Linked DNA regions of Macaca fascicularis. The protein of the gene in region 3 interacts with the protein of the main gene of each other region in a pairwise test. Links are inferred from orthologs where the notes say so. Each region holds a gene or a part of one and is shown on either strand. Other genes may lie near its edges.

Region 1 (10,035 bases), on a different chromosome or scaffold from region 3:
AAAATTTAAAAATTAGCCAGGTGTGGTGGCGGATGCCTGTGGTCCTAGCTACTTGGGAGGCTGAGGCAGGAGGATTGCTTGAGCCTAGGAGTTTGAGGTTGCAGTGAACTATGATCATGCCACTGTACTCCAGCTTGGGCTATAGAGTGAGACCTTGTCTGGGTGGGGGAGTAGAGAAAAACATGATTAAGGATACCCTAAAAGTTTTTAAACTTCTAGGGGGAAGAGGGAAGAGCATAAGAAATGCAGTTCTCAGATACATAATTGGATGAATTAAATATAAGGGCGATGGTAGCTTAAAAATAAACTGATGAGAAACTTAAAAACATAAACTTACTCTTTTCAATGAGCTGGTCTTGAACTCCTGCCAATGCACTTACTGCCTAAAAGAAAAGCCACCAGTTACTAGAAAAGTGACCACAGACCTCAGAAGAACACTCCCAGAGGAAGAGAAAGAGAAAACACATTCCCCAACAACAGGCCAAAGAAAGATTTCCCCACCACCACTACTTACAGCTGCTGAGGTAACTGAGGATTTACTGAAGAGCCGCTCAGCTTCCTTAAACTTCCGGTTCCTTCGATCATTTTTGCTATTGGAGTTTCTAAAACACACAGAAGAAACTCATCATGAGCACCAAGCTATGTCTATGGCTCAAGCTGGGAATGCCCCAGGACTCATGTTCACCACAGAAAGCCTCCATATCACTTAGATTGGCCCAAACGACCTTTATGCTGAACATAGAAAGCAATGTTTTCCAATATATGGTACATGGCCCACTGTGGGACATGAGATTTAGCTGCTTCACATGTTTTTTAAATTTATTTATTTATTTATTTATGTATTTATTGAGACGGAGTCTTGCTCTGTTACCCACACTGGAATGCAATGGCAGAATCCCAGCTCATTGCATCCTCTGTCTCCCGGGTTGAAGCGATTCTCCTGCCTCAGCCTCCCAAGTAGCCAGGATTACAGGTGCCCGCCACCATGCCCAGCAAGTTTTTGTATTTTCAGTAGAGATGGGGTTTTGCCACATTGGCCAGGCTGGTCTCGAACTCCTGACCTCAGGTGATTCACCCACATCGGCCTCCTAAAATGCTGGGATTACAGGCATGAACCACCACGCCCAGTCTATTTTTTTTTTTGTTTCCGAGACGGAGTCTCACCCTGTCACCCAGGCTGCAGTACAATGGACAATCTCGGCTCACCACAACCTCCGCCTCCCAGGTTCAAGCAATTCTCCTGCCTCAGCCTCCAGAGTAGTCTGGGAATACAGGCACGCACCACCACACCCAGCTAATTTTTTCTTTTGTATCTTTAGTAGAGATGGGATTTCACCAAGTTGGCCAGGCTGGTCTTAAACTCCTGACCTCATGATCTGCCCACCTCAGCCTACCAAAGTGCTGGGATTACAGGCGTAAGCCACCACACCTAGCCTTTTTTTTTTGAGAGAGTCTCACTCTGTCTCCCAGACTGGAGTGCAGTGGCGCGATCCTGGGTCACCGCAATCTCCACCTTCTGGGTTCAAGTGATTCTCCTGCCTCAGCCTCTGAAGTAGCTGGGACTACAGGTGCACCCCACCATGCCTACTTTTTGTATTTTTAGTAGAGACAAGGTTTCACCATGTTGGCCAGGCTGGTCTCAAACTCCAGATCTCAAGTGATACACCCACCTTGGTCTTCCAAAGTGCTGGGATTACAGGTGTGAGCCACTGTGCCTGGCCACATTTTCATTTTAATATGTATCTATTTTACCTTATTTATTTATTTATATATTTTTTTGAGACGGAGTTTCGCTCTTCTTGCCCAGGCGGAACTGTAATGATGCAAGCTCAGCTCACTGCAACCTCCGCCTCCCGGGTTCAAGCGATTCTCCTGCCTCAGCCTCCCGAGTAGCTGGGATTACAGGCATGCACCACCACACCTGGCTAATTTGGTATTTTTAGTAGAGACAGAGTTTCTCCACGTTGGTCAGGCTGGTCTTGAACTCCCAACCTCAGGTGATCCACCCGCCTCAGCCTCCCAAAGTGCTGGGATTACAGGCGTGAGCCACTGTGCCCGGCCAATATGTATTTATTTTAACGCTTATTATTTAAAAAGTCGAGAACAGATTAGTGATATGAAGTGTCTCTTAAATAAACTTAATTCTCAAATTTAAAGTAGGAACCAGGGTTCCTTAGAGGAATGGCTGATACCAGGTCTGGGACAAAAAATGCACAAGGTAAGTATGGGACATCTTTTAGGCCAGAAAGCAATGGAGTGCTCCAAAAATAATAGGGTCACGTCAAAACGACAAACAAGCCAGCTTGAAGAGGCTCCCTCTGACCACAGTTGGGACAAATGTGGGAGAATGAAAGAAAAGAAGTCAAAAAAGGAAGACTCTTTCTCAGAATGCCAGTAATAAAGGGAATAATAAAATTAGAGAATCACCATTTTACAACTTCCAGTGTACTAATGGATTCAGATAAGAATCAACGGTGTACACTAAACAACTGAATACAAATTTAGAGGAAGCAGTATTTTCATAATGTCTCAAAGCATAACATCCAAAATTACTTGTTAACACAATGGGAAAAAACGAACTTTTATAGCAGATAAATCATATGGTCAAACTTAACAGCACCAAATAATAAGACAACGTGACATTATGTGCCTCCTGGTAAACGAGAGATAGATAACAAAAGATACACCAATTGCCTATGTAACATTTTTGCAAAAATGTTTAAAGGATCTTTCAGGATCCTTTTAATTAGTCATGAGTTTTGCCCTCAAAAAATCTCAGGAAACTGCGATATTCTACAAGGCAATGTCATGAATATCACCACAACCACCACGAAAAGGGTGACTCTCTTCAATCTTAAGACATAACAGCCAAATGCAATGCATGAATGCTTACTGAATCCTGGATCAAAACAAATCAGCAAGAATTTTTTGGGACAACTGAGGAAATTTTAATAAAGACTATGTATTATATACTATTAATGTAGTACTGATTTTCTAGGTATAATAACTGGTTAGGTAGGAGAAATGTCCTTATACTCAGGAGATAATTATTGACACATTTAAGTGCAAAGTGTCAGTATATCTGCATCTAACTTTCAAACAGTTAAGTAGGAAAAAAAGGTAGGGGGACAGGGAGATATAACTACAAAGGAGTGGCATGAGGAAGATCTTTGTGGTAATGGAATAGTTCCTGAAGTAACTTGATTGTGGTCACATGAATCTACACACAAGATAAAGTGACATAGAACTATATATATACATTGTACCAACGTCAATTTCCTGGCTTTGATACTGTATTAGAGTTATATAAAACACACCTATTGGCCGGGCGCGGTGGCTCAAGCCTGTAATCCCAGCACTTTGGGAGGCCGAGGCGGGCGGATCACAAGGTCAGGAGATCGAGACCACAGTGAAACCCCGTCTCTACTAAAAATACAAAAAATTAGCCAGGCGCGGTGGCGGGCGCCTGTAGTCCCAGCTACTCAGGAGGCTGAGGCAGGAGAATGGCGGGAACCCGGGAGGCGGAGCTTGCAGTGAGCCGAGATCGCGCCACTGCACTCCAGCCTGGGCAACAGCGTGAGACTCCGTCTCAAAAAAAAAAAAAAAAAAAAAAAAAAAAAAAAAAAAAAAACAACACACCTATTGGGGAAAACTAGATGAAGACTACAAAAGACCATTCTGCCAACTCCCTATGAATCTATAATTATTTCACAATTTAAAAACGTGAAATGTAAATACAGGTGTGTGCTTATATTAATATTATAGAGAGTAAGAGAAAGCAAATGTCACAACACATTAACAATCTGAATACAGGTAGGACAGTATCAAGTGTTCATATACTATTCTTCCCATTTTTCTATAACTTGAAGATAATCCAAAAGTTTAGAAATTTTTTAAAAATATTACTAAGCAAGCAGTGGTACAGCTGGCACACAGGTATGGCAAAAATTGTGAGGGTCAGTTGGGCGTGGTGGCTCACCCCTTTAATTCCAACACTTTGAGAACCTGAGGCAGGAGGACTGCTTGAAACCAGGAGTTCCAGGCCTGCCTGGGCAACAAAGTGAGACCCCACTTCTACAAAAAAAAAAAAATGTTTTTAATTAGTCAGGTGCAGTATTGTGTGCCTGTAGTCCCAGCTAATTGAGAGGCTGAGGTGGGAGGATCATTTCAGCCCGGGAGTTTGAGGCTGCAGTGAGCTAAGATTGTGCTACTGCACTCCAGCCTGGACAACAGCATGAGACCCTGTCTCTTAGAAAAAAGAAAAGTGGCCAGGCATGGTGGCTCACACCTATAATCCCAGCACTTTGGGAGGCCAAGGCAGCAGATCACCTGAGGTCAGGAGTTCAAGACCAGCTGGGCCAACATGGAGAAACCTCGTCTCTACTAAAAATAAAAAAATTAGCCAGCCATGGTGGCATGCGCCTGTAATCCCAGCTACTCAGGAGGAAAAAGAAAAAAAGAAAAGAAAAATACTGTGAGGGTAGAACTCACGACTGATTAAAATGTGTAAAAAATTTAATAGAGTGATGTTGTATAAAGATATTGTTATATGCTGTATTTAAGCCTCACACAACCCTGTGCCAAAGGCCCAACTTTTGCTATTTTACAGACGTGAGCTTTGTCTAAGATTATTCAGTGAGGCAGTGCCTGAGCCAGAGTCCAAGAGTTCAAGTCCAGACCACACCACCACTTTACTACTGCCTCTAGCAAACTTGCTACTAAGAGCCTACAGTCCTACAAACACACACAATAGGAACACAATAGGAACACTACAGGCTTTCGACACTCACTTTTGGTTGGTCAGATACCGATCCCAGCCACGAATAATATTGCCATACATCTGAGTGTCTTCCAGGTAGCTTCCCTCAAAAGCATAGATCTGTCGCTCCAAGTTTGCCAGTGTTTCCTGAGAGATGAAAAACAAGGACATGAATAATGCCTTTTAAATGCAAACACTTAAGTCTGACCAAAATGAAATCCTGATATTAGATTTGTAAACGCAAGCTTGTCCACACTAAATCACCCTGTGGAGAGATGGATGATATGGGGAGGAGCAGCCGTTTAGGACTAAGACAGTCTAGACCTTTGGGTGTGATGGACCTCTGAATGTATAAAGCATGTCCCCAGAAAAATACACACACACGCGAAATTTTGCATATACTTTAGAGGATTCACGGAAACCAGGAGTCAAGAACCCAGGCTAACGCAGAACTTGTGCGATATCCACTCCCACGCACAAAAGGTATCGCTACCAGGAGAGGGAAGGGTGAGCAGCCTTTCAGCGTCAACTCGCTCCCCTCCCCGCAGGCTCAGAGAGGCCGCCGGCACCGGGCTGCCAGTTGCTATGGAAACCTGGAAGGGCAGCTTCAGGTGAGAGGGGCCTCCGGGGTGCCCAAGCCGAGACGTGAGGGCAGGAAGAGCTTAGCCACCAGGGTGCATTGGGCCTTGGGTGCCTGTCACAATTCCGAATTCTCCAGAATGTGTTCTTCTCCCTCGCCTGTCACCTTCTAGATATTCCCAAACACATCACAACCCTGTCTATCAAAAGCCTCCATTCAACGGATCTACTACTAGTACCAAAAAGAACACGCTCCCCACCATCCTCCAAAGTCCAGACAGGGTGACTCGGTCCCCCTCCCACACTAGCCTCCTACCCCACCCCCACCCCGCAAAGATCACGGACTCGCCCGCCTCGCCCTTCCTAGCGCCCTCTCCCCGAGTCCCGAGCCCCGGCACCGTCCTCCCTCCACGCCCCCTCCTGCGGCTGCCGCTGCCCCTCCCCCTCCCGCGCTCCCAGCTCCCTCCCGGCTCCGGATTCGCACAGCCGGGAAGCTGAACCGCCGGCGGGCCGCAGAATGCGCACCCGGCCTCAGGCCGCCGAGCACACAGCCCGCCGCGCCGCGCCCCCGGAGTAACGAACGGCCTGGCGCAGCCGGGCTTGGGGCCTGGAGGCGGGGCGGGCGCGGAGCCCCATGCCGGGCAACCCCGGTCCTAGCCCCTCACCGCCAACTCCTGCTTCCGCTTCACGAGCTCCGCCAGCTCCCGCCGGGTGTCCGGGATCTGCGGCGGCGCCGCCTTGTTGTGCATCGCCATGTTGGGCTGAGGCGGGCGGCGGCGGCGCGAGGTTGGGGGCGGTCCCTGCGCCGCCAGGGGGCGCCCCCCGCACTGCGCCTGCGCGCGCGGCTTCCGGAGACGCGTGCAGCGCCGCGCAGAGGTGCTCTGCGGCCGGGACTCTGGACGATCCTTCTCGGAGAGGTCCAGAGAGTCGGCTTCTGCTCTGCCCTTTACGCCGTTTCCTGCCCCTCGGCTGGCCGCGGGCTTTACAGACGGCACAAATCTACCGTGTCCAAAGCCTAGCTCGTCCTCAGGCCTCCGAGTCTCCTGTGCGTCCCGCCTCAGTCCACTTCAGTGAATGACTTTCACTATCCACCGCAATTGCCTGCGTCAGAAACCCGGTTTTCCTCACTCTGCACCCGGAGTAAAACGCGATACCAGGTCAAGCCCTGTGGATTCGACTCCGGAAGAGCTCGCGAATCCATTTGCTTGTGCCTGCGCCTTTTGCCACCTTCTTAGTTCATTCAGGCCCTCCCTGTTTGGGGCTACGTTATTCCAACAGCTTCTTTATTTCCACCTTTAGCCCCATTTAATCCACTATCCACAGTGGTGCCGGAATCTTCCAGAAACAAATGTTATCACTCCCCTGTTTAAAGCCTTTCAGTGGCTTCCCATTTTCCCATTGCCCTTTGGAGAAACAAGTATGTGTAGTGGTTAAGGGCACAAAACTGGAGCGAGAACTACCTTGTTCAAAATCCTATCGCTACATCGATAAAGTGTGCCCCTTTGGGTAAATAACCAAATCTCAACTCCCTCATCTGTAAAATGAAAGCAGTGATAGAATCTACTTAATACAGTTGCTGTGAGGAGTAAATCAGCTAATGTGTGTAAGGGGTTTGGCAGGTGCCAATGACTCTGCAAGTACGAATTCGCTTTTATCGTTAAGTCCAAGGTGTAGACGTTGTTTTCACTTGGCCCCTGTTGATTTCTCCCTCCTCAGCTCTCCATCTTTCACTCTTCTGCAATTTCGCTATCATAAGTCTAAGTGGGATATTTTTTCTTTTTGTTTTGTTTCTTGCTTGGAAGTCTTTGGATTTCTATAATCTGTGGGTTGGTATCTTCCACCAGTTTTGGGAAATCGCAGTCATTTTTCTTCAGATGCCTGTCTCATATTCTCTCTCTTTCTGGAACTCGAACATAAGAAACCTTTATTTTTAACCTACCGTCTATATTTTCTATCTTTTTGTCCCTCTGTGCTGCATTCTGAATAACTGGTTTCGTGTGCGGATCTTGTAACCTGCCATCTTGCTGAACTTCCTTACTAATTTTAGGGGGGTTTTGTATAGATTCCTTGGAATTTTTTACATAGATAATTTCATCTGCAAATGGGGCGTTTTTTTTTTTTCTTTCTAAGCTGGCTTCTTTTTCTTTTTCTTCCTTATTGTGCAGACTTCCAGTAGTCTGTTAAATAAAAATGATAACATTAAACATCCTTGACTTGTTCCCTGTTTTAAGAGGAATGCATGCCGGGCGTGGTGGCTCATACCTGCAATCCCAGTACTTTGGGAGGCCGAGATGGGCAGATCGCAAGATCAGGAGATCAAGACCATCCTGGCTAACACGGTGAAACCCTGTCTCTACTAAAAAAAAAAAATAAATAAACAATTAGCCGGGCGTGGTGGCGGGCGCCTGTAGTCCCAGCTACTCAGGAGGCTGAGGCAGGAGAATGGTGTGAACCCGGGAGGCGGAGCTTGCAGTGAGCGGAGATTGCGCCACTGCATTCCAGCCTGGGGGACACAGCGAGACAAGCTGGTGTGCTCCATCAATTCCTGGGGGCCTGAACAAATGATGACCTGCTAGAAACGCATGGGCAGCAAAGTAACTATTCACAAAACCAAATAAAAGCCTTCCAATAGAAACTAAAATTAAAAAAAAAAAATCATGGCTTTATATATATGAATACACACTTGATCTTAGCCAAAAGGCCAAGATAGATAGATAGATAGATAGATAGATAGATAGATAGATAGATAGATAGATAGATGGATGCATATACAAGCAAGGCCCAGAGGAGAATAAACAGCAAATGAATGAAAATTAGAAACAAAAACAAACAGGAAACCAACCCTAAATTTTTCCTACTCAATCTACCCTGGAGGCTACAGTGTTACCCAGAGCCCCCCAAAACTTGACATAATGAATATTTTATTCCTAATACACAATTCAATATCCTTAAGTCCACCAATATCACCAAAGATCCTGCAAAATCAAGAAATTCACTCTAGGCACATGACCAATAAGTACTCCAGTGCCAGCACTATCCATGCAAAACAGTAAACATAGTGTGAAGCAATGCAAGCACGGATGTGAAATTTGGCTTCACACTAAATCCAGCTTCATATTAAAAAAGAACTGCCAAACTATCTATGCATTTCTTTACAATATTTCTTTTTCTTTTTTTTTGAGACAGAATTTCGCTCTTGTCACAGAGTGCAATGGCATAATCTCAGCTCACTGTGACCAGTACCCACCATCCAAAGTTCCAAACGTTTCTTTGTATCCCTGACTTCTTCTGAGCCCTTCAGACTCTTCCAAACCCTCTCTGTTACCCAGTTCCAAAGCCACTTCCACATCTTCAGGTATCTTTATAGCAATCCCCCACTCCTCCCATCCCAATTTCCTATATTAGTTTGTTCTGCATTGCTATAAAGGAATACCTGAGACTGTGTTATAAAGAGACATATTTGGCTCATAGTTGTGCACGCTTCTAGGTGAGGGCCTCAGGAAATTTACAACCATGGCCAAGAGTGAAGGGGAACCAGTGTGTCACATGGCAAGAGAGGGAGCAAGAGAGAGAAGAGGAAGTTCCAGGCGCTTTTTAACAACCAGATCTTGTAGGAACTCGTTACTGTGGGGAAAGCACTAAGCCCCTCATGAGGAATCCACCCCCATAACCTGAATCCCTCCCACCAGGCCCCACCTCCAACACTGGGGACCACTTTCAGCATGAGATTTGGAGGAAACAAAACATCCAAGCCATAACAAGGTAGTTTATAGTTTTCAAGGAATTGGTCCATTCATCTAAGTTAAATTAATGTGCATAGGCCGGGCATGGTGGTCCACACCTGTAATCCCAGCACTTTGGGAGGCCGAGGCAAGTGGATTGCCTGAGGTCAGGCGTTTGAGATCAGGCCAGTCAACATGGTGAAACCCTGTGTCTATTAAAAATACAAAAATTAGCAGGGCAGGGTGGTGGGCGCCTGTAATCCCAGCTACTTGGGAGGCTGAGGCAGAAGAATCGCTTGAACCCAGGAGGTGGAGGTTGCAGTGAGCTGGGATTGCACCACTGCACTTCAGCCTGGGTGACAGAAAAAAAAAAAGCCAGGCGGTGGTTCACGCCTGTAGTGCCTGTAATCACAACACTTTGGGAGGCCGAGGCGAACAGATCACCTGATGTCAGGAGTTTAAGACCAGCCTGGGCAACATGGTGAAACTCTGTCTCTACTAAAAATACAAAAATTAGCCGGGCGTGGTGGCGCGTACCTGTAATCCCAGCTACATGGGAAGCTAAGGCAGGAGAATCACTTGAACCTGGGAGTCAGAGGTTGCAGTGAGCCAAGATCACACCATTGCACTTCAGCTTGGGCAAAAAGAGCGAAACTCCGTTTCAAAAAAAAGAAAATGAGGCCAAGTGCGGTAGCTCATGTCTGTATTACCAGCACTTTGGGAGGCCGAGGCGGGTGGATCACCTGAGGTCGGGAGTTCGAGACCAGCCTGGCCAACATGGAGAAATCCCGTCTCTACTAAAAATACAAAAATTAGCCAGGCATGGTGGTGCACGCCTGTAGTCCCAGCTACTCAGGAGGCTGAGGCAGAAGAATTGCTTGAACCCCGGAGGCGGAGGGTGCAGTGAGCCGAGATCGTGCCATTGCACTCTGGGCAATAAGAGAGAAACTCCGTCTCAAAAAAAAAAAAAAAAAA
Region 2 (10,020 bases), on a different chromosome or scaffold from region 3:
CCATACTGTTTCAAGGGGAATTTCAAAACTATTTCCAGGCTGAGTGCGGTGGCTCAGGCCTGTAATCCCAGCACTTCGGTAGGCAGAGGTGGGCAGATCACAAGGAGATTGAGGCCATCTTGGCTAACACAGTGAAACCTTGTCTCTGCTAAAACTACAAAAAAAATTGGCTGGGCGTGGTGGCGGGCACCTGTAGTTCCAGCTACTCGGGAGGCTGAGGCAGCAGAATGGAGTGAACCTGGGAAGTGGAGCTGGCAGTGAGCCGAGATCGCGCCACTGCACTCCAGCTTGGGCGACAAAGTGAGACTCCTCAAAACAACAACAACAAAAAACTATTTCCATATAACTATAAATACTGCCTTTTGCATTCTTATTTTTCCGCAGGTGTACAGTGGAATTTTCTGGAGGCTACATGACGTGATAAGAAAACAGACTGAAAAAGGGAATACATCTATAAAGAGAAAATTGCTATCACTGTTTTTGGTTGGGAAAATTTGTATGAGCTAAACATGTTATTCTTTTCATAATCAAACATTCTTCTCATAAGTGTTGGTTCTGTACCATTCCTCAAAGGTGGTAATTTTTTGAAATATGTTATTGTAGATTCATGATTTTGGATACATTGAATGGTTAAGTGCATTTCTATAACGTGTTATTATGATACTCATTATTAGTCAGTACAAGCCTCTTCAAACTGGATCACAACATTTTTTGACACACCCTAGTAATGATGTATTTTGCATGTGAGAAATAAGATGCATTTGAGCCACCAGAGGGTATTCTGGGCTGAAATGGGTCCTTCCCCAAATTATAACTCCAAGTACCTCCAACTGTGCCTGCATTTGCAGAGAGGTAATTAAGGTAAAATGAAGTAATATGGGTGATCTCTAATTCAATACTAGTGTCCTTACAAGAGAGTCAGACATAGACACAGGGTGAAGATCAGGTGAAGACAATGATATGGCTGCCATCACTAAAAGTCAACTAGAAAGGCCTTGGAATAAATCAAACCTATCAATACTTTGACCTTGGACTTGGGGCTTCTGACATTGTGAGAAAATGAATTTCTGTTGATTAAACCACTCAGTGTGGGATTTCCTCATGGCCGCCATAGCAGCCGAATACACTTAGTTCTATAAAACTTTTTGAGATTTTTTAAGATACGATGTCTTTAAATTTTGGTTCCATAAAGCTTTTTGAGACATTTTAGATAACATGCTTTTAAATTTTGGTATATGAATGAATGCTGTACTATTGAAGTGTCTCTGCTTTCTCAAAAACTACTATAATCTTTCTTTTGTAAATTCCTTCTTAGTAATGGAAAGAAAAATTCAGTTTTTTTTTTTCTTCATCTTCTTTTGGAAAAAGACATAAAGACATTGTACTGTCTCTTGCTTATGCAATTGTAGCTACTTTATTGAAACCATGATCTTTGTGAGCTGGTTACTTTCAAAGCTGAGACACATTAGCAACTCTGAACAACAGGTACATTTTATCAGTAATAAAAGCTTATTTGCTTTGCAGCCAGTTATTTTGTATTCACAATATACTTTTGAAATATTATCTCATCATTGTCCTTGTATAAATTTTCCCTCTGTTGTGTCTGAGAAAATAAAAAGATGTAATATAGTCGACTTCATCTGTGGAGTCATTTATAATCTTTCTTGGACTGTAATAAAGACTCTTCTTATATGACAACTACAATTAGACCATCCTTTCCTTGTCTCTTAAGAAAAGTTAACATTATGAATGAAAAGTAGTGTCAAAAGCTGTTTAAACTTTCATTATCTAAACTACCTCTGATCTTTTAGATTAGGAAACATCTTTTTTTCCTTTATATTCCTTAGCTGTTCTTTCTGAAGTGCTTTATATATTGGTAATTTTTGATAATAATGGGATTTTTGATTAGCATAGAAGTATTAACAATGTTTACCTTTTTTGTGTTCTGACCATGCTGCTTACAGTTGAGTGGATGATATGAGATCCCATTCTTGACATATCATAGCATTAAATGAAGGCCTTTGGGAAATATTTGATTTACAGCTGTAATCCCAGTGCTTTGGGAGACCATGGCTGTTACACTGAACTGGAGAGTTCAAAGCCGAGTGAACTATGAAGGGGCTACTGCACTCCAGCCTGGGTGGCAAGAGCCAGGTACTCTCTCTAAAAACTTTAACTTTATCAGTATTTTGAAGTTATGTTAATTATGTATGAAATTAGGCTAGTTCTTCACTGAAAGACATTGTAAAAATACTTCTTTCCACAAAATACATTGTCTTAACTTGATGAAATTTTCTCAAACAAGATTTACATTTATTTATTTATTTAAATATAGGATCTTGCTCTGTCATAAAGGCTGGAGTGTGGTGTCACAATCATAGCCCAACTGGGCTTAAGCCTCCCCACAGCTGGGACTACAGGCGTGTACCAACACACTCAGCTCTTTTCAGTTTTTTTTGTACAGATGTATCTCCCTGTTTTCCAGGCTTGTCTCCAACTCTCAGTTGAGCACAAGCTGATTTTATCTCAGCCTTCCAAAGTGTTTTGGAATTACAGGGGTGAGCTGCCTCTCATTTATCATGTTTGAAACAAAATGTAACCACTTGAGAAAAAAAGGTCAAACCAATGGTTTGAAAAGAGAATTGCTATCCAGCCACTAATCTCATTATACCAACTATGTACCATTGGTTTTTCTTTTGTAAAGCATTTTATGACTTTTAGGTGTCTCAGGTAAGGACAAGATGATTTCTGTGAGTTTTAAAAATCGGTATGCTAGAAAACTGAAATACTTAGCCTCTACATTTAGAGGTTACTGGCTCTGGCCTGCAGGCTGCAGTGCAGTGGCTTGATCACAGCTGTCGGCCTGTATCTTCTGGCCTCAAGCGATACTCCAGCCTTGGCCTCCCAAAGCGCTCGGAGGTGAGCCACGGCGATAGGCATATTTAACTTTTTAGTAGCAGCTTTCAAACACAGTCCGAGTCCCAAGTTTAATAGGAAGTTAGCGCGCATAAAACCGTAATGAAAACACATACACGTTTTTGTAGTTTATCAGTACAAGCTGTTTAATCAAATGCATTTTAAAGGTTTTTTAAACTTTAAGAGGATAATTTTGTAAGAAAACAATCCCCAAACCAATTGTTAGTTTACACTTATTAACGAATGTGCATAATTCATTGTTTATGAGAAAATTACACAAAACTGACCTTTCAAGGATGCCAAAAGATGAAACATTGCAATAGAGAACGTATACTAAACATTACAGACCTTGGTCAAAATACCTACGTTAACATAAAAAACTCAAATGGCTTAGTAATTGATTTAGGATAACCCTCCCCTCCTCTTGCCTGCACACTGGTAAGTCCATTTACTTTTTTCTTTTAATTTTTAAATCGAACGTAGGAGCCAGTGGGGGATGCTGTCTGTATCTGTATCTCTGCATCTGCTTTTCTCCTCAACCCTAGGAATAAAGAAAACACATTTACTGCGTGCGGGGGGTCTAAGGACAAGCAAACAATGAGAGCTGTTGCCTTGGCTAGGACTGGCGCGGAGAGGCAATAGGTCTCGGGGAGGCCTGGGGCAGGGTGTGGGAGATTAGGAATCCGAGGTCCACCGGAGATGGCAGGGGGTGGCCTGGCCGGTGCGGGGCCGCTTGCCTGTACGCCACCGACTGAGGCGGTGGCGCGCGAGTAGTGGTGACGGCGGGCGGGAGCGCGGAAGAAAAGAACGTTGTGACGGAAACTCCGGCTGCCGGAGACCCCACCGCAGTGAGGTCACTGGACTCCCCAGTCTCGGGGCGTGACCGGCGGCGACCCGGGGCGCCGGGAGGCCCACCGGGCGGAGGGGGCCCAACTACCATCCCGCATATTCCTGGGTCTCTCTCCCGGGCGGTGACGTGACGTGCTGACGGCGGGCCTGTGCCGGGGAGCTGGGCCGCTTTTTGTCAGCTCCGAGCTCGGCCCCTCCTCCCTCCCTCCGCCCGCCCTACCAGCCGGAGCCCGGCCCAGTGCTCCAGAGAAAGGCCGGCCTGCAGCACCCGCCGCTGTCGCCGGCGGCCCGCAAGTCCGTCGGGTGAGTCCCGCGTGCCCCCGCGGCCGCGGGGCCTAGTGCGCGCGCAGTAACTTGCTCGTGGCCTGGTCGGCGTCCCGTAGGGCGCCCTCCCGCGCTAGGCCGGCCGGCGTGGCGCTCGGCGCCGAACAGGCCCCGAGGAGGCCGCAGTTAGGCCTGGGAATAATTCGGCCGCCCTGAGAGGATGCGGAGGTGCGCTCCGTAAGCGGGCAGGGGTGGGAAAAGGTCGCCTGTTTGTTCGGAAGGCGGTTGGTGGACCCGGGGTCGAACCACTGCAGACCCAGGGCGCGGCACGGGGGCGAGGCCTGGCGAGGAGGCGAAGGCTGCAGGCGTGAGGTGAAGGCCGGAGGCCTGCTGGGCCTATTTTCGCTATGTAAATGTCCGCGAAGGGGAGGAGGGACCGGGGGCAAGATGGCGGATAGTAGGCGCCTGCTGCTGGGGAGTATTGAAAGTGTTGTCGGGAGGCGGAGCCGCCATTTTGAAGGCGGTATCTGGAAAAGAATTCCGTTATGATCCTTGAGCCGGGGATGGGGAAAAGGGCGGCCGCGGCGGCGGCTGCGGCCGCCCAGATTCCGGCGCGACGGCGTGTCTGCGCGACGGGGCGTGCTCGTTCCCTTGGCGGCCTTTGCCTTTGTCGCCATGCGCGCGCTTACATTCCAGACTCCTGCAGCAGCGCCACCTCTCGGCCTTCCCCTCACAGCCGGTCCCTGGCTGGAGGCTGTGTCGGCTACGCTTTAGCTGACATGCTGCAGACGTCTGTTCGGGTGCCGGAGTCGCAGCGCTCCCTGCTCTGTGTCTTTCCCAGAGTCTATAGCACCCTACTGGGCAGGTGGCACTTAGGGCACCTGGGCTCACGAGAGCACATAAATTCCAGAAAATTTTATTTTCTCCTAATTAAAGTCATTATGTGGCTGTTCGGGGACCTTCCATGCGCTTATTTTGCAACCATCATTGCCTCCTCGAGGATCTGAAAAATATCAATGGGATTTATTATAAAAAAAGTTATTAGACATCATTCGATAGACAGTACAGTACAAATTATATAGCACGAGGGCAGAGGAATAAAATTTTAAGGCGACTTCTCTCATTTATGTGGAAAAACTTTTGATGAGCTGTATTTAAACGAGCTTTTTAGTCTGGATACTTTTTTTTGAGTAAGAGATGGAAAATAGGCAGAAGAGGTATTTTTCTCTTTGAAGGACAATACATTACTTGTAGGTTCATATACCCATGATGACATTGAGATTTTATTTGAAATTTCTTATACAGTTTCATCTTCAAAAGACTTGTTAGCATTTTGTGCAACTTTGCTGGCAAATTGGAGCACAGTAGCGTGAGCGTTGGACAGTGCTAGGTACTAAGAAAGATTTAAAAGGCGCTTAATGCAGAACGTGACTGCAAAAAGTTTGCTGTGGGCATTTCACAGGAAGGCGAGGTTTCAGGTTGCAAAATTGGGAAAGGATTCCTGAAGTAGATAATGGGGTTTAGCTAGGGTTACTGAGGGATGAGTAGGATTTTCTTAGGTAGGGTGGGAGTAGGAGAGGTCATTACAAGAATGAAATGTCTGTAGAAAATGGCAAATATTTACGGTTTGGCTGGAGTGTGTAATATAGATAGGAAAGGGATACAAATTTAGGCTGTAAAAGATAGATTCTGAAATGCGTTCGTGGCACACCTGAGATTATGCTGAGCTCTGGCTGCAGCTGTTAGAACAGTTTCAAGGCTGAGAAGCATTGAGGGCTAGTAGTAAATTGGTGTTTCCGTTACCGGATAGATGATCAAGAATGTAGCTATTTTTTGGCCGGATGTGGTGACTCATGCCTGTAATCCCAGCACTTTGGGAGGCCGAGGCGACGAGGTCAGGAGATCGAAACCATCCTAGCTAAGACGGTGAAACCCCCTCTCTACTAAAAATACAAAAAATTAGCAGGGCGTGGTGGCGGGGCGCCTGTAGTCCCAGCTACTTGGGAGGCTGAGGCAGGAGAATGGCGTGAACGCGGGAGGCGGAGCTTGTAGTGAGCCTGGATCGCGCCACTGCACTCCAGCCTGGGCGACAGAGCGAGACTCTGTCTCAAAAAAAAAAAAACAAAAACAAAAAACAAAACAAAAAAAAAACCAGTTGTCAGAAATGCAGTAGCCTTCAGATGGCTGTATGCAAACATTGCCCTTCTTGGTGAAGGTAATCCTCTGATGAAAATAGTCTTCAGGTGAGCAAGCTTTAAAATTGGCAGTTCACTTTATATGTGAGGGTCCTAGATGCAGTAGTTTCAGAGAACATGTACAGCACTTGTTTCCTAGACTTTTACAATTTATAAAAGGCAGGTTTTCAGTTTTCCCAGACTTTAGCATATCAGAGCTCTGATGATTCAAAGAAGTCTGAAGGAAACTAGAGATTGATGGTTTACAAAAGTGTGGCAGTGTATTGCAGGAGGTAGTCAAAGGAAAAAAAAAATTTTTTTTTTGTTTTGTTTTGAGAGAGAGACTGGCTCTGTCGCCCAGACTGGAGTGCAGTGGCGCGATCTCGGCTCACTGCAAGCTCTGCCTCCAGATTCACACCATTCTCCTGCCTCAGCCTCCCCAGGAGGTGGAACCACAGGAGCCCGCCACCACACCCGGCTAATTTTTTTGTATATTTAGTAGAAACGGGGTTTCACCATGTTAGCCAGGATGGTCTCGATCTGCTGACGTCGCGATCCACCCATCTCGGCCTCCCGAAGTAGTGGGATTACAGGCGTGAGCCACCGCGCCCGGCCATCAAAGCAAATTTTTAATGCAATCTAGTTGTTGACTTGCTAAGGGCCAACATAAACTGTAGAGGTAGTTGATTTATATCTTGACAACTGAAGAGCTGTAAAGAAGATAGAATTGTATCTTGTACAGTACAGCAGTTGTAGATGTTCCAGTACATCAGCAATGGATGTGCAAAAAGAAGACAGGCAAGTGCATAGTTTTAAAGGATTTATAAGGAAATTGTTAAGTAAAAAGTACTTTTTTGCCTGATGGGATAGACCTTGACGATCTGTTAGTCTTTTTTTTTTTTTTTTTTTTTTTTTGAGACAGTCTCGTTCTGTCACCCGGCCTAGAGTGCATTGTTGCTATCTCAGCTCACTGCAACCTCTGCCTCCTGGGTTCAAGCGATTCTCCTGCCTTAGCCTTCGAAGTAGCTGGAACTACAGGTGTGTGCCACCATACCCAGCTAATTTTTAATTTTTGTAGTTTTAGTAGAAATGGAGTTTCACCATGTTGGCCAGGCTGGTCTCAACCTCCAAACCTCAGATGATCCACCTGCCTTGGCTTCCTAAAGTGGTAGGATTACAGGCGTGAACCACTGTGCCGGACTTCTGCTAGCCAATTATCTTGGATAAATGAGTTGTTAGTTTTTAATTTATGTGTATTTTTTAAATAGATGCCCCCCTTTTTTTTTTAAAGCATACAGTGCTTATATATATATATATATATATAAAAAAATAACTCTGACTCTGTTTACATTTGTATTGTCACTAATTGCTACCTTTGAATTGTTGCATTTATGCGTTCTGGCAATTGCAAACTTTTTTTAGATTCTTAAGTTCTTCAATGCCAGCATATTATTTTGTTACTGAATTGAGAAAGATAGATGACCATATGATGCAAATGTTTGATCTCATTCATTTCATACTTTTGCTTTAGTTCTTCCTTCACTTTACTTTCTTTTGTTGGGAGAAGTGTTGCTTTCAAAGTTCATTTTCTCTGTTTACCCTTTCCTTACTCTCTGCCTGCCCCTTTCTATAAATATTCATAGATATGCTTATTTTACAAAAAGCGTATCTGTCTTCTCTTTAGTTTCACTAGTACTTTTATTTCTATTCTTCCCACTTCTAAATCTGGTATTTCTCAACATGTGAAACTGTTCCACAGCAGGTAATTGGTGTGTCACCTGAAAGTGTACTGCATTTCAGAAACTCTCTGTCCTTTCTTTGTCTGCTCTGGTCATTTTCCTAACCTAAATGTGGAATTTAACTTGAGATTAATTACTCGTTTTCTCCAAACTTCTTCCCTGGCATCCCTGTCTCTTATTCTCACTCATCAAATTTCTCATCTAGCATTTACAGTTACTTACTGAACACCTCCATCCTGACCTTTTATTAACAGTCCATATTCAATATTGCTGAAACCAAATTTATCTGGCACAGAGTAGGTGCCCAGTAATGTGCATTGAACCTCTTTTGCCCTAGAGTCCCTAAAATAATTCCTGCTTTTTGCTATCTTCCTTTTCCAGACACTACCGTTTTACCAGGCTTTCTTTCATCCTTGTCACTTAGAGCAGTGTAGATATCTTTAATTAACATTTAATCTATTGTATTCTAAATGTAGGTTTATACTTTTGTTTTCATCCCTAACTTTTGAAGCCCTTAATTATAGTAGATAGTTTCTTACCTTGATTTGTTCCGCTAACAGAATGATCTGGCAGATAAACATTATTTCAAAAAAATCATTTGAAATAATTTAATGCAGAGATTTATATGGAGTTGAATGGCCCTCCAATTGAAGTTAAGGAGCCAAATAGTGTTCTTGAATTGTGTAAGTATTGAGTGTTCATTTTTTGAAGGCAGCAGATGAAAACAGGATTCTCAGGAACATGTTTCCACCATTGCTTTAACCATCTACCTTGGCTGACAGCCCATTCTTTTTCTTACTAAATTGTTTTAAACATAGTATTTTAATAAATATGGCGCTCTTATTTAGCTGTAAAATGTAATAAAGGAGAGTAACTAGATTTTAACCAAATTTTGCTTAATTGAAAGAGGAATTTTAATCTAGGAAAGGCACAAAGGAATCTAGGAGAGACACAAAGGAATCTACGTCAATGACTTTAAAAAATTAACAGTTAATATATTAAACATGTAAATTATAAAATCTTTTGTCCTTAGTAGGCAAGTATAAATCTGTTGTAACAGATTGTAACAAATGTTACAGTCTTTCACACTTGTTTCATTTTTTTTTTTAAATTTAAAGAAATGGAATTGTGCAGGTCATTTTAAAGAGTTGCCTTCAGTGCTTCTCAATCCTGCTTCTTTTTCCCCAGACTGGTTTCCTTGTATGTGTTATAACTTCAGGAAGTTATCATAGAGTATGTGTCATTTTGTGTATTTTTTATCACTCAACAGTGAGTTTTTGAGTTTCTTTCATGTTATCTGTGGATCTAATGTTTTAGTTAGCAAAAGTTGGTCTAGGAACCCATGGGGATCTTTGGCACCTTTTCAGATGTCTGTGAGAGAAAAACAATTTTTAAAAAAATACCAAGAAGTAATTTACCTTTTTTACTCTTATTAGCCCATGAATGTAGTGTACAGTAGAGTTTTCAAGAGTTTCACATGTTTCAGAAAGTTGAATGCAGAAGCAGATAGAGGAATCCATCTGTTTTATTTTAAGCCAGGTATTAAAAAGATTAACATAAAAATTTATAATTTGGAAAGTACTTTTAATAGTGTTATTTATCTTAATATTAATGGTTTATTAGTTTTAAGTGAACAAACATAAATAAACTTTTCCTAAAATTAGTAGGCACTACCTTTTAAAATGGTATATGTTGATAATAAAACCTGCTTAAACAAAAGCTCTTTTAGGACTCTCAAATTTTTTAATTGTGAAGGAGTCCTAAGGTGAAAAAGTTTGGGAAATCATTAATCTGAATTTATATTCTATTATAGTTTATACATATGCTGTGGCCTGTTTATTCATTACTGGGAACCAATTAGGTTTTCAGTCTTTTCCAATTTTGAAACAATGTAGCTTTGAACATCTTTGTACATGATTAACTTCTCTTGGGTTTAAGTGGAAGTGGTAATCTGAAGTGCATGTGCATTTGTCAGCTGTACTGGAATTGCCAAATTCTTTCCACATTGGTTGTATCTAGTTGATACTAAGTTTTCTGTCAGAGTGTTTCTCCATATCATTACCTTTTTTTTTTTGAGA
Region 3 (10,014 bases):
ACTGGCTTCCAGATGATCCACAGGGATTCTCATCTGCCCGCCCCCAACCCAATCCTCCTACCCAGGGTCACTTTATCATGTATTACCTCCCCACTCCCACCCTGACTTCCAAGCCACAAGCTATTTGTCCCTTCTCAGAAAGGAACCAAAACACTTTAGGTTTCCTGTCTTCTAACATCCAGGCTGGAAATCCACTGTATATACTTACACAAAAAAGCAGCACCGTGTTATTCAGCGGCATCTAAACTGTGCTGAATACACATTAGTTGTATGAAAGAATGAATGAAGTCACAATGTGAAATTAGACTGGGGCCGGGCACAGTGGCTCACTTCTGTAATCCCAGCACTTTGGGAAGCCGAGGTGGGTGAATCACCTGAGTTCAGGAGTTTGAGACCAGCCTGGTCAACATGGTGAACCCCCACCTCTACTAAAAATACAAAAATTAGCTGGGTGTGGTGGTGGGTGCCTGTAATCCCAGCTACTTGGAAGGCTGAGGCACGAGAATCACTTGAACTCGGGAGGTGGAGGTTGCAGTGAGCCAAGATCATGCCACTGCACTCCATCCTGGGCAACAGGGCGTGACTCAAGTCTTTTTTTTTTTTTTTTTTTTTGAGACGGAGTCTCGCGCTCTCACCCAGGCTGGAGTGCAGTGGCCGGATCTCAGCTCACTGCAAGCTCCGCCTCCCGGGTTCATGCCATTCTCCTGCCTCCGCCTCCCGAGTAGCTGGGACTACAGGCGTCCGCCACCTCGGCCGGCTAGTTTTTTGTATTTTTTAGTAGAGACGGGGTTTCACCGTGTTAACCAGGATGGTCTCGATCTCCTGACCTCGTGATCCGCCCGTCTCGGCCTCCCAAAGTGCTGGGATTACAGGCTTGAGCCACCGCGCCCGGCAACTCAAGTCTTAAAAAAAAAAAATTCAGCAAAGGAAGTACCGCTGTGGCTACTTGGGCTGCTTCTGTCTCTCTTACAGATCCTTACACATCTGATCCCTTAGAAATCACAGTTAACAGCCTTTTACATATGGATGGCTCTGCCCATATAGCCTATATCCATCCCCCTCTTCCTCTATAATCTTCTGACTCCTCTCCATCCTCAGGGGACACTCTGAAGGCACCTGGCTCAGAACCACTGCCATCCAAGGAGCGAGGAGTCCCAGGGCTGAGCAAATGCAGGGGGGAGGTCGGCAGTTCCCCTGCTTCCCGATCCTCATTTTCTGCTTCACTTGACTCCTCCAGATAGGAGCTGCTCTCACTGCCCACACTGCTGTTATAACTCCGGAAACTATCATAGCCACCAAACAGCTCCAAGTCATCATCTTCCTCTTCCTCCATTGGTTCTGAAGACGGGGTCTCCTAATGGAGGATGACACAAACCAGGTAGAAAGAATTATGGTTGGCTTTAGTGCACGGGGGGAGAAGCTGCAGATCTGCTATCAGCCCCCTCACACTTCCGGGAACCTTCCAAATACCAGGATCATTACTCCTATTTCCACATTTCTCCACCATGATGCAATACAACAGCTTAACAAGACAGAAAATATGTGTTAGGAATTCACCAGGCTCCTCTGTGGATTTCCAAATGATGATATTTTAACATGGTTCAAATAGAATACTGTGTAACAATGAGGGCCGGGTGCAGTGGCTCATGCCTGTAATCCTAGCACTTTGGGAGGCCGAGGCCGGCAGATCACCTGAGGTCAGGAGTTCGAGACCAGCCTGGCCAAGACGGTGAAACCCTGTCTCTACTAAAAAATACAAAAAAATAAATGAGCCAGGTGTGGTAGTGGGTGCCTGTAGTCCCAGTCACTCGGGAGGCTGGCGCAAAGAATCGCTTAAACCCAGGAGGCAGAGGCTGCAGTGAGCCAAGATTGTGCCACTGCACTCCAGTCTAGGTGACAGAGCGAGACTCTATCTCAAAAAAAAAAAAAAAAGTGAAATATCCTAAGGTACTTTACAAAGACTTTCTGGGGTAGAAGATATATATTACAAATTAATTCTTAGCCGGGCATGGTGGCCCATACCTGAAATCCTAGTACTTTGGGAAGCCAAGGCGAGTGGATCACGAGGTCAGGAGTTCAAGACCAACCTGGCCAAGATGGTGAAACCCTGTCTCTACTAAAAATACAAAAATTGGCCGGGTGTGGTGGCAGGCGCCTGTAATCCCAGGTACTTGGAAGGCTGAGGCAGAGAACTGCTTGAACCTGGGAGGCGAAGGTTGCAGTGAGCTAAGATCGTACCACTGTACTCCAGCCTGCGCGACAGAGTGACTCTGTCTCAAAAAGAAAAAAGAAATGTCTTCTGTGTTCAATATTACATCAAAATGATCTCAACTCAGAAACAGTTTAAGTCACAGAAAAGTTAATTTGGGACCCAGACTGCTCCAAAGAGGATCGGAGAGGCAGATGACACACAGATAACTGTGGCATCTTGGGGTGTACTATAGCGCTAGATTCAGCTCTGATCCTAACTAGCTATAGGGCCTTGAGCAAGTCATTTAACTTCTGTGGGCTTCAATTTTCTCATCTATAAAATAAAAATATTTGACTCAGCTGGGCGCGGTGGCTCAAGCCTGTAATCCCAGCACTTTGGGAGGCCGAGACGGGCGGATCACGAGGTCAGGAGTTCGAGACCATCCTGGCTAACACGGTGAAACCCCGTCTCTACTAAAAAATATGAAAAAAAACTAGCCGGGCGAGGTGGCGGGCGCCTGTAGTCCCGGCTACTCGGGAGGCTGAGGCAGGAGAATGGCGTAAAAACCCGGGAGGCGGAGCTTGCAGTGAGCTGAGATCCGGCCACTGCACTCCAGCCTGGGCAACACAGCGAGACTCCGTCTCAAAAAAAAAAAAAAAAAAAATACAAAAAATTAACCAGGCGTGGTGGTGGGAGCCTGTAGTCCCAGCTACTCAGGAGGCTGAGGCAGGAAAATGGCGTGAACCTGGGAGACGGAGCTTGCAGTGAGCCGAGATGGTGCCACTGCACTCCATCCTGGGCGACAGCCAGACTCCGTCTCAAAAAAATAAAAATAAATTAATTAGCCAGGTGTGGTGGCATGTGCCTGTATTCCCAGCTCCTTGGAGCTGAGGTGGAAGGATTGCTTGAGCCTGGGAGGTGAAGGCGGTAGTGAGCCATAACCATGCCACTGCTATCCAGCCTGGGCAAGAGAGTGAGATACTGTCTCAAAAGAAAAAAAAAAAGCCAGGTGGTGGTGGTATGCACCTGTAGTTCTAGCTACTCAGAAGGCTGAGGTGGGAAGATAGCTTGAGCCTGGGAGGTCAAGGCTGTACTGAATCATGGTCACATCATTGCACTCCAGCCTAGATGACAGAGGGAGACGCTGTCTCAAAGGGAAAAAAAAAAAAAGGTGTGAAGAGCTCAAATACCATCTCTAGTGCTTACTTGCTGTGTGACCTGCAGCAAGTCAATTTTGCAGTGTTTCAGTTTCCACATCTGTACAATGAGGATAGTACCACCTATTTCACAGGGTTTGGGGGCTGGCCACAGTGGCTCATGCCTGTAATCGCAGCACTTTGGGAGGCCGAGGCAGGAGGATTGCTTGAGCCTGGAGTTCAAGACCAGACTGGGCAACATAGGGAAACCCTGTCTCTACAAAAACTGGAAAAAATTAGCTGGGCGTGGTGGTTAGGGAGGCTGAAGTGGGAGGATCTCTTGAGCCAGGGAGGTCAAGGCTGCAGTGAGCTATGACTGCACCACTGCACTCCAGCCTGGGTGATAGAGAGCAACTCTGTCTCAAAAAAAAAAAAAAAAAAAAGGATTTGGGGGAGAAGTAAGAGACAATACAGGCAAAGCACTCAGAATAGTGACTTGCATATAGTAAGTGCTCAATAAACGTTGCCAACTTTTACTGGTTGAAAGCATAGACTATGATTTGCCTAGGTTTGAATCCTGGCTCTAACATTTATTAACTGTGTGATTTTGTGCGTATTTTATCTTGCTACCCTCAGTTCTTCATCATTACAAGAGAGATAATAAGCTTTCTTTAGATAATTCTTATGAAGATTAAGATATGTAAAGCCTAGTTCTATTTCCAGCAGTCAGTAACAGCTCTAAAAGTGTGACATGCTATTATTCTCCACATTATTATTTTCCTTTACCCTTGCAGAATGTTTGAGCTATTCCACTTTATATTTGCAACTATACATGCAAATATGCTAGAAAGGAAACAGTTCAAATATAGGTACCCTTGTCAGGCAGGGTGACAGAGACCACCTATAGTCCCAGCTACTTAGGAGGTTGAGGTGTGAGGATTGCTTGCGCCCAAGAGTTCGAGGCTGCAGTGCGTTGTCATCACGCCTGTGAGTAACCACTGCACTCCAGCCAGGGCAACAGAGGAACACCCCGTCTCTTAAAACAAATATAAAGTGCCCAGAAACCAAATGATTAAAGGATGAGGCGGGGTGCAGTGGCTCACGCCTGTAATCCCAGCACTTTGGGAGGTCGAGGCGAAGCAGTCAGATCACCTGAGGTCAGGAGTTCGAAACCAGTCTGACCAACATGGTGAAACCTCGTCTCTACTAAAAATATAAAAATTAGCCGGGTGTGGTTGCGCATGCCTGTAATCCCAGCTACATGGGAGGCGGAGACAGGAGAATTGCTTGAACCCGGAGACGGAGGTTGCAGTGAGCCGCGATCGGGCCACTGCACTCTAGCCTGGGCAACAGAGCAAGACTCCGTCTGAAAGAAAAAACAAAAGGGATGAGTGGGTTCCAGGTTGCAGTACAATGTGAAAAGCATAACAGATAGTTTCGGAGGCGGACAGACTTAGAGCCAACCTCCTTCACTTTCCAGCCGGGGTAACTTCCTGGGGCGTCGCACCACCTCTAAGCCTCAGTGGCTTGAACGACAAAGACGAAAGAATAATAATTCCTGTGAGGGTACTGGAAGATAATGCACATGAACGTTACAGACAAGGAGTGATGTTCACCCAACGTTAATCGCCCTTCACTTCCCACCTCATGTAACAGGCCTCACAAGCCCTAAAGAACACGGCCACGAGACAATGAGGATAAAGAATCGATTCAGGAGCTCTCACATCCTAAACCTAGTTCCCCTTCCCCCAGGCCAGGGACGGCTGTTCCTCCCTGAACTCGCCGAACATTGGCCCCAGCAGGAGAGGAGCAAAAAGTAACGCCAGTCGCCTCTGGCCCTGGCTCAGTTTAACTATCTCAGTTTATCCATCCTTCCACCTTCCATCCTCCAGACGTCGCTAAAAGCCCTAAAGAAGGGTCCACGGAGCGAGGATCTCGGGGTTCCCCTTCCAAGTCACGCTAAGTCCTCTCCTTCTCACCTCAATACTCGGGGGCTTCTCCATGAGACCTCAGTTTCGCCAAGCGTCACCAGGTGCAGGAAGCCATATTGGCCTCGTCGCTCTCCACGAGAGCACTCATTGGTCGCCTCCCTGAGCCGCGGGCCAATCACGCTGCAGGAAGGAGGAAAAGCCGGTTCCGTGCTTGCTCGCGCCATTCTCTCCCTTTGGGCGGGGAAATCGCGGGCGCTTGTGGTAATTGTAGTTCGCCTTGGGTGTGCAGGGTGGGACGTTACCATAGTGACGTGGAAACCAGGAACGCTGGAAACCTGGTGCGCCTCACGCCGACTGTTCCAGTTACGCCAACCTCTTGACTTCATTGGGATGTTATTCACTAAACGGTTACTGAGCACCTATGATAGTCACTGTTCCAGACTCCAGGAATAACCTCGTACTCTCCCGAGTTAGGTATTTAAGGTGTCCTTTTGCTGGGATGCATAGCAGAGGGACTCATTTCCAACTCAGGCAGAAACTGAAATACTCCAGATTGAAAAGAAGAAAAAAAAAGAAAGAAACTGGAATACTGTGTGTGTATGTGTGTGTGTGTGTTTTCTTGAGACGAAGTCTTGCCCTGTCGCCCAGGCTGGAGTGCAGTGGCGCGATCTTGGTTCACTGCAACCTCCACCTTCCGGGTTCAAGCGATTCTCGCGCCTCAGCCTCCCAAGTAGCTGGGATTACAGGCGCCCGCCACCAAGCCCGGCTAAGTTTTGTATTTCTTAGTAGAGATGGGGTTTCACCATCTTGGCCAGGCTGGTCTTGAACTCCTGACCTCATGATCCACCCGCCTCAGCCTCCCAAAGTGCTGGGATTACAGGCGTGAGCCACCGCGTCAGCTGAAACTGGAATATTCTTTTTCTCAATGCTGTAAGTGTCCAGCCTCCTCAAAATCTTGCAACCTTCCTCATGCACCACTCCCTCCTGGGTAAAAACCTTGAATCTGAGGCTCTCTGCCTCATCCCGTTAGGGTTTCCCACAACCTCTTTAGACACCCTGAGTTCTAGGTGCTGTTGTGGAGCTTTGCAAACATCTTTTCAAACCCTTACACATCCTATCACCATTTGAAAGAAGAGGAAGTGGTGGCTCTTCAGGTTTAGGCACTTTCCAAGATCACACAGGATAGGGATTCCAAATTTAGTACAAATTCCTTCCCTATGCTATGCTGTGTCCCAATGAATTAATTGAGACTCTAAATGCAATATGTGGAGGCTGAATACATACAAAACATATGCCTAAATTTGAGGTCCACCATGGAGATGTGAAACTCTTCCTAGATGTCTTTCTTTCCTTCAACCCCTTCCACCCTAAACCCCTGTATCCATGCTGCCAACATGTTGGTTTTTCTACCTCCAAAATATATCCTGTATTTCCTCCACTACCACTCTAATACAAGCCACCGGCCCATTTCAGCAGCCCTTCAAGTGGTCACCCTTTCTTTCCTTCCTCCCTCCCTCCCTCCCTCCCTCCCTCCCTCCCTCTCTCTCTCTCTTTCTTTCTTTCTTTCTTTTTTGAGACGGAGTCTCGCTCTGTTGCCCAGGCTGGAGTGCAGTGGCACGATCTCGGCTCACTGCAAGCTCCACCTCCCGGGTTCACACCATTCTCCTGCCTCAGCCTACCAAGTAGCTGAGATTACAGGTGCCCACCACCATGCCAGCTAATTTTTTGTATTTTTAGTAGAGAGGGAGTTTCACCGTGTTAGCCAGGATGGTCTCAATCTCCTGACCTAGTGATCCACCTGTCTTGGCTTCTCAAAGTGCTGGGATTGCAGGCATGAGCCACCGCGCCCTGCCCTCTTTCTTTTATTGATTGATTGGTTGATTGAGATGGAGTCTCCCTCTGTCATCCAGGCTGGAGTGCAGTGGGATCTCTGCTCATTGCAACCTCCGCCTCCCATGGTCACCCTTTTTAAATCTTCACCTTTAATCCACACAGGTGATCTTTAAAACTCATAGACCTGGCCAGGCACAGTGGCTCACCCCTGTAATCCCAGCACTTTGGGAGGTCAAGGTGGGAAGATCACAAGGTCAGGAGATCTTAACCAGCCTGGCCAAGATGGTGAACCCCATCTCTATTAAAAATTCAAAAATTAGGCCGGGCTCGGTGGCTCAAGCCTATAATCCCAGCACTTTGGGAGGCCGAGATGGGCGGATCACGAGGTCAGGAGATCGAGACCATCCTGGCTAACATAGTGAAACCCCGTCTCTACTAAAAAATACAAAAAAAAACTAGCCGGGCGAGGTGGCGGGCGCCTGTAGTCCCAGCTATTCGGGAGGCTGAGGCAGGAGAATGGCGTAAACCCGGGAGGCGGAGCTTGCAGTGAGCTGAGATCCGGCCACTGCACTCCAGCCTGGGAGACAGAGCGAAACTCCGCCTCAAAAAAAAAAAAAAAAAATTCAAAAATTAGCTGGGCGTGGTGGCATGTGCCTGTAATCCCAGCTACTTGGGAGGCTGAGGCAGGAGAATCGTTTGAACCAGGGAGTCGGAGGTTGCAGTGAGTTGAGATCGCGCCACTACACTCCAGCCTGGGCAACAGAGCAAGACTCCATCTCAAATAAATAAATAAATAAATAAATAAATAAATAAATGTTCTGGAATGAGATAGTGGTGAAAAAAAAGAAAAAGAAAGATTGGTTCAGCAAGTGCAAAGGCCACATTGGTGGAACAGCAAGTGCAAAGGTCCTGGGGCCAACCCAAGCTTGGTACACAATAAACAGAAAAATAGGGAGAGTAGATGGATATAGCAAAAGATGGAGAGGGTGGCACAAGACGAGGTTAGAGAGAAAGCTGGAACCAGGTCATTCAGGGTCTTGTGGAGTGCTTGGATTTTATTCTGTGCAAGGGAAAGGCATTAGAGTTTGTTTGTTTGGTTGGTTTTGAGACAAATTTCACTCTCATTTCCCAGGCAATGGTTCGATCTTGGCTCATCACAACCTCTGCCTCCCAGGTTCAAGCAATTCTCCTGCCTCAGCCTCCCAAGTAGCTGGGATTACAGGCATGCGCCACCACACCTGGCTAATTTTTTGTTTTGTTGTTGTTGTTGTATTTTTAATAGAGACAGGGTTTCTTCATGTTGGTCAGGCTGGTCTCGAACTCCCGACCTCAGGTGATTCTCCCACTTGGGTGAATAGTCTTGATCTCCTGACCTCGTGATCCTCCTGCCTTGGCCTCCCAAAGTGCTGAGATCACAGGCCTGAGTCACTGCGCCAGGGTAAAAATTTTTTTAAATTAGCCAAGTGTGGTGGAGTGCACCTGTGGTCCCAGATATTCTGGAGGCTGAGGAGGGAGGATTGCTTGAGCCCAGGAGGTTGAGGCTACAGTGAACCATGTTCATGACACTGCACTCTACCCTAGTGACAGAGAAAAAAAAAAAAAAAGTTGTCTGGCTGGGCATGGTGGCTCGCGTCTGTAATCCCAGCACTTTGAGAGGCTGAGGCAGGTAGATTACTTGAAATCAGGAGTTCTGCTGGACGTGGTGGCTCATGCCTGTAATCCCAGGACTTTGGGAGGCCAAGGCGGGCGGATCGCCTTAGGTCAGGAGTTCAAGACGAGCCTGGCTGATGTGGTGAAACCCCGTCTTTACTAAAAATACAAAAATTATCCGGGCTTAGTGCAGCGTACCTGTAATCCCAGCTACTTGGGAGGCTGAATCGCTTGAACCCAGGAGGCAGAGGTTGCAGTGAGCTGAGATTGTGCCATTGCACTCCAGCCTGGGAAAAAAAAAAAAAAAAAAAGAATTCTAGATCTCCCTGGCCAACATGGTGAAAAACCTGTCTTGATTAAAAAAACATACAAAATATTAGCCTGGCGTGGTGGCACAAGCGTATAGTCCCAGTTACTTGGGAGGCTGAGGTGGGTGGATCACTTGAGGTCAGGAGTTTGAGACCAGCCTGGCTAACATGGTGAAACCCCATCTCTGCTAAAAATAGAAAAATATTGGCTGGGCACATTGTTCATGCCTGTAATCCCAGCAGTTTGGAAGGCTGAGGCAGGTGGATCGCCTGAGGTCAGGAGTTCGAGACCAGCCTGACCAATATGGTGAAACCCCATCTGTACTAAAGATATAAAAATTAGCCGAGTGTGGTGGCATGTGCCTGTAGTCCCAGCTACTCGGGAGGCTGAGACAGGAGAATTGCTTGAATCAGGGTGGCAGGGGATGCAGCGAGCCGAGATTATGCTACTGCACTCCAGTCTAGACGACAGAGCGAAACTCCGTTTAAAAAAAAAAAAAAAATTAGCTGGATGTGCTGGTGCATGCCTATAATCCCAGCTGCTCAGAGGCCGAGGCAGGAGAATTGGTTGAACCTGGGAGGCAGAGGTTGCAGTGAGCCGAGATCTTGCCACTGCACTCCAGGCTGGGTGACAGAGTGAGATTTTCTCTTAAAAACAAACAAACAACCAAAAAACCAACAATAAGAAAAAAGTTGTCTGGGTTGAATAGCAGATTGGCAGGGCAGAGAGCAGAGGAGGCGAGTTCAAGGGATTTATTTACATAGTATGAAACAGAAAAGCACGTTTGTGTTGCTAGTGGGAGTGATCCAGTGGAGACAGACAGATCAATGATCCTGGACAGAGGGACAGTGATGCACAGAAGGCCTTAAAAGACAGGAGCGTATTAGGTCCACATGTAGAGGGATGAATTAGTCCAGCCAAAAAGGTACCTTTGCTACAGGATAAAACCCCTGCCCAGGAGCTC

What was found.
Region 1: the proteins of L3MBTL2 (region 3) and MEAF6 interact in binary tests that used the Homo sapiens proteins (3 or more experiments, as listed by UniProt). The two-hybrid records come from large-scale screens. The link is inferred for Macaca fascicularis from reciprocal best matches to the Homo sapiens genes L3MBTL2 and MEAF6.
Region 2: the proteins of L3MBTL2 (region 3) and ZFY interact in binary tests that used the Homo sapiens proteins (3 or more experiments, as listed by UniProt). The two-hybrid records come from large-scale screens. The link is inferred for Macaca fascicularis from reciprocal best matches to the Homo sapiens genes L3MBTL2 and ZFY.

What each region holds. Positions count from the first base shown.
Region 1 is NC_088375.1:197,410,873-197,420,907, reverse strand, and holds the start of MEAF6 (chromatin modification-related protein MEAF6), read right to left. Parts: upstream 6,102-10,035; 5' UTR 6,094-6,101; coding exon 6,004-6,093; intron 4,907-6,003; coding exon 4,791-4,906; intron 603-4,790; coding exon 515-602; intron 384-514; coding exon 338-383; intron 1-337.
Region 2 is NC_132903.1:2,518,806-2,528,825, forward strand, and holds the start of ZFY (zinc finger Y-chromosomal protein), read left to right. Parts: upstream 1-3,919; 5' UTR 3,920-4,401; intron 4,402-10,020. UniProt on the Homo sapiens protein: Probable transcriptional activator. Binds to the consensus sequence 5'-AGGCCY-3'.
Region 3 is NC_088384.1:10,404,316-10,414,329, forward strand, and holds the start of L3MBTL2 (lethal(3)malignant brain tumor-like protein 2), read right to left. Parts: upstream 5,498-10,014; 5' UTR 5,483-5,497; coding exon 5,307-5,482; intron 1,355-5,306; coding exon 1,117-1,354; intron 1-1,116. UniProt on the Homo sapiens protein: Putative Polycomb group (PcG) protein. PcG proteins maintain the transcriptionally repressive state of genes, probably via a modification of chromatin, rendering it heritably changed in its expressibility.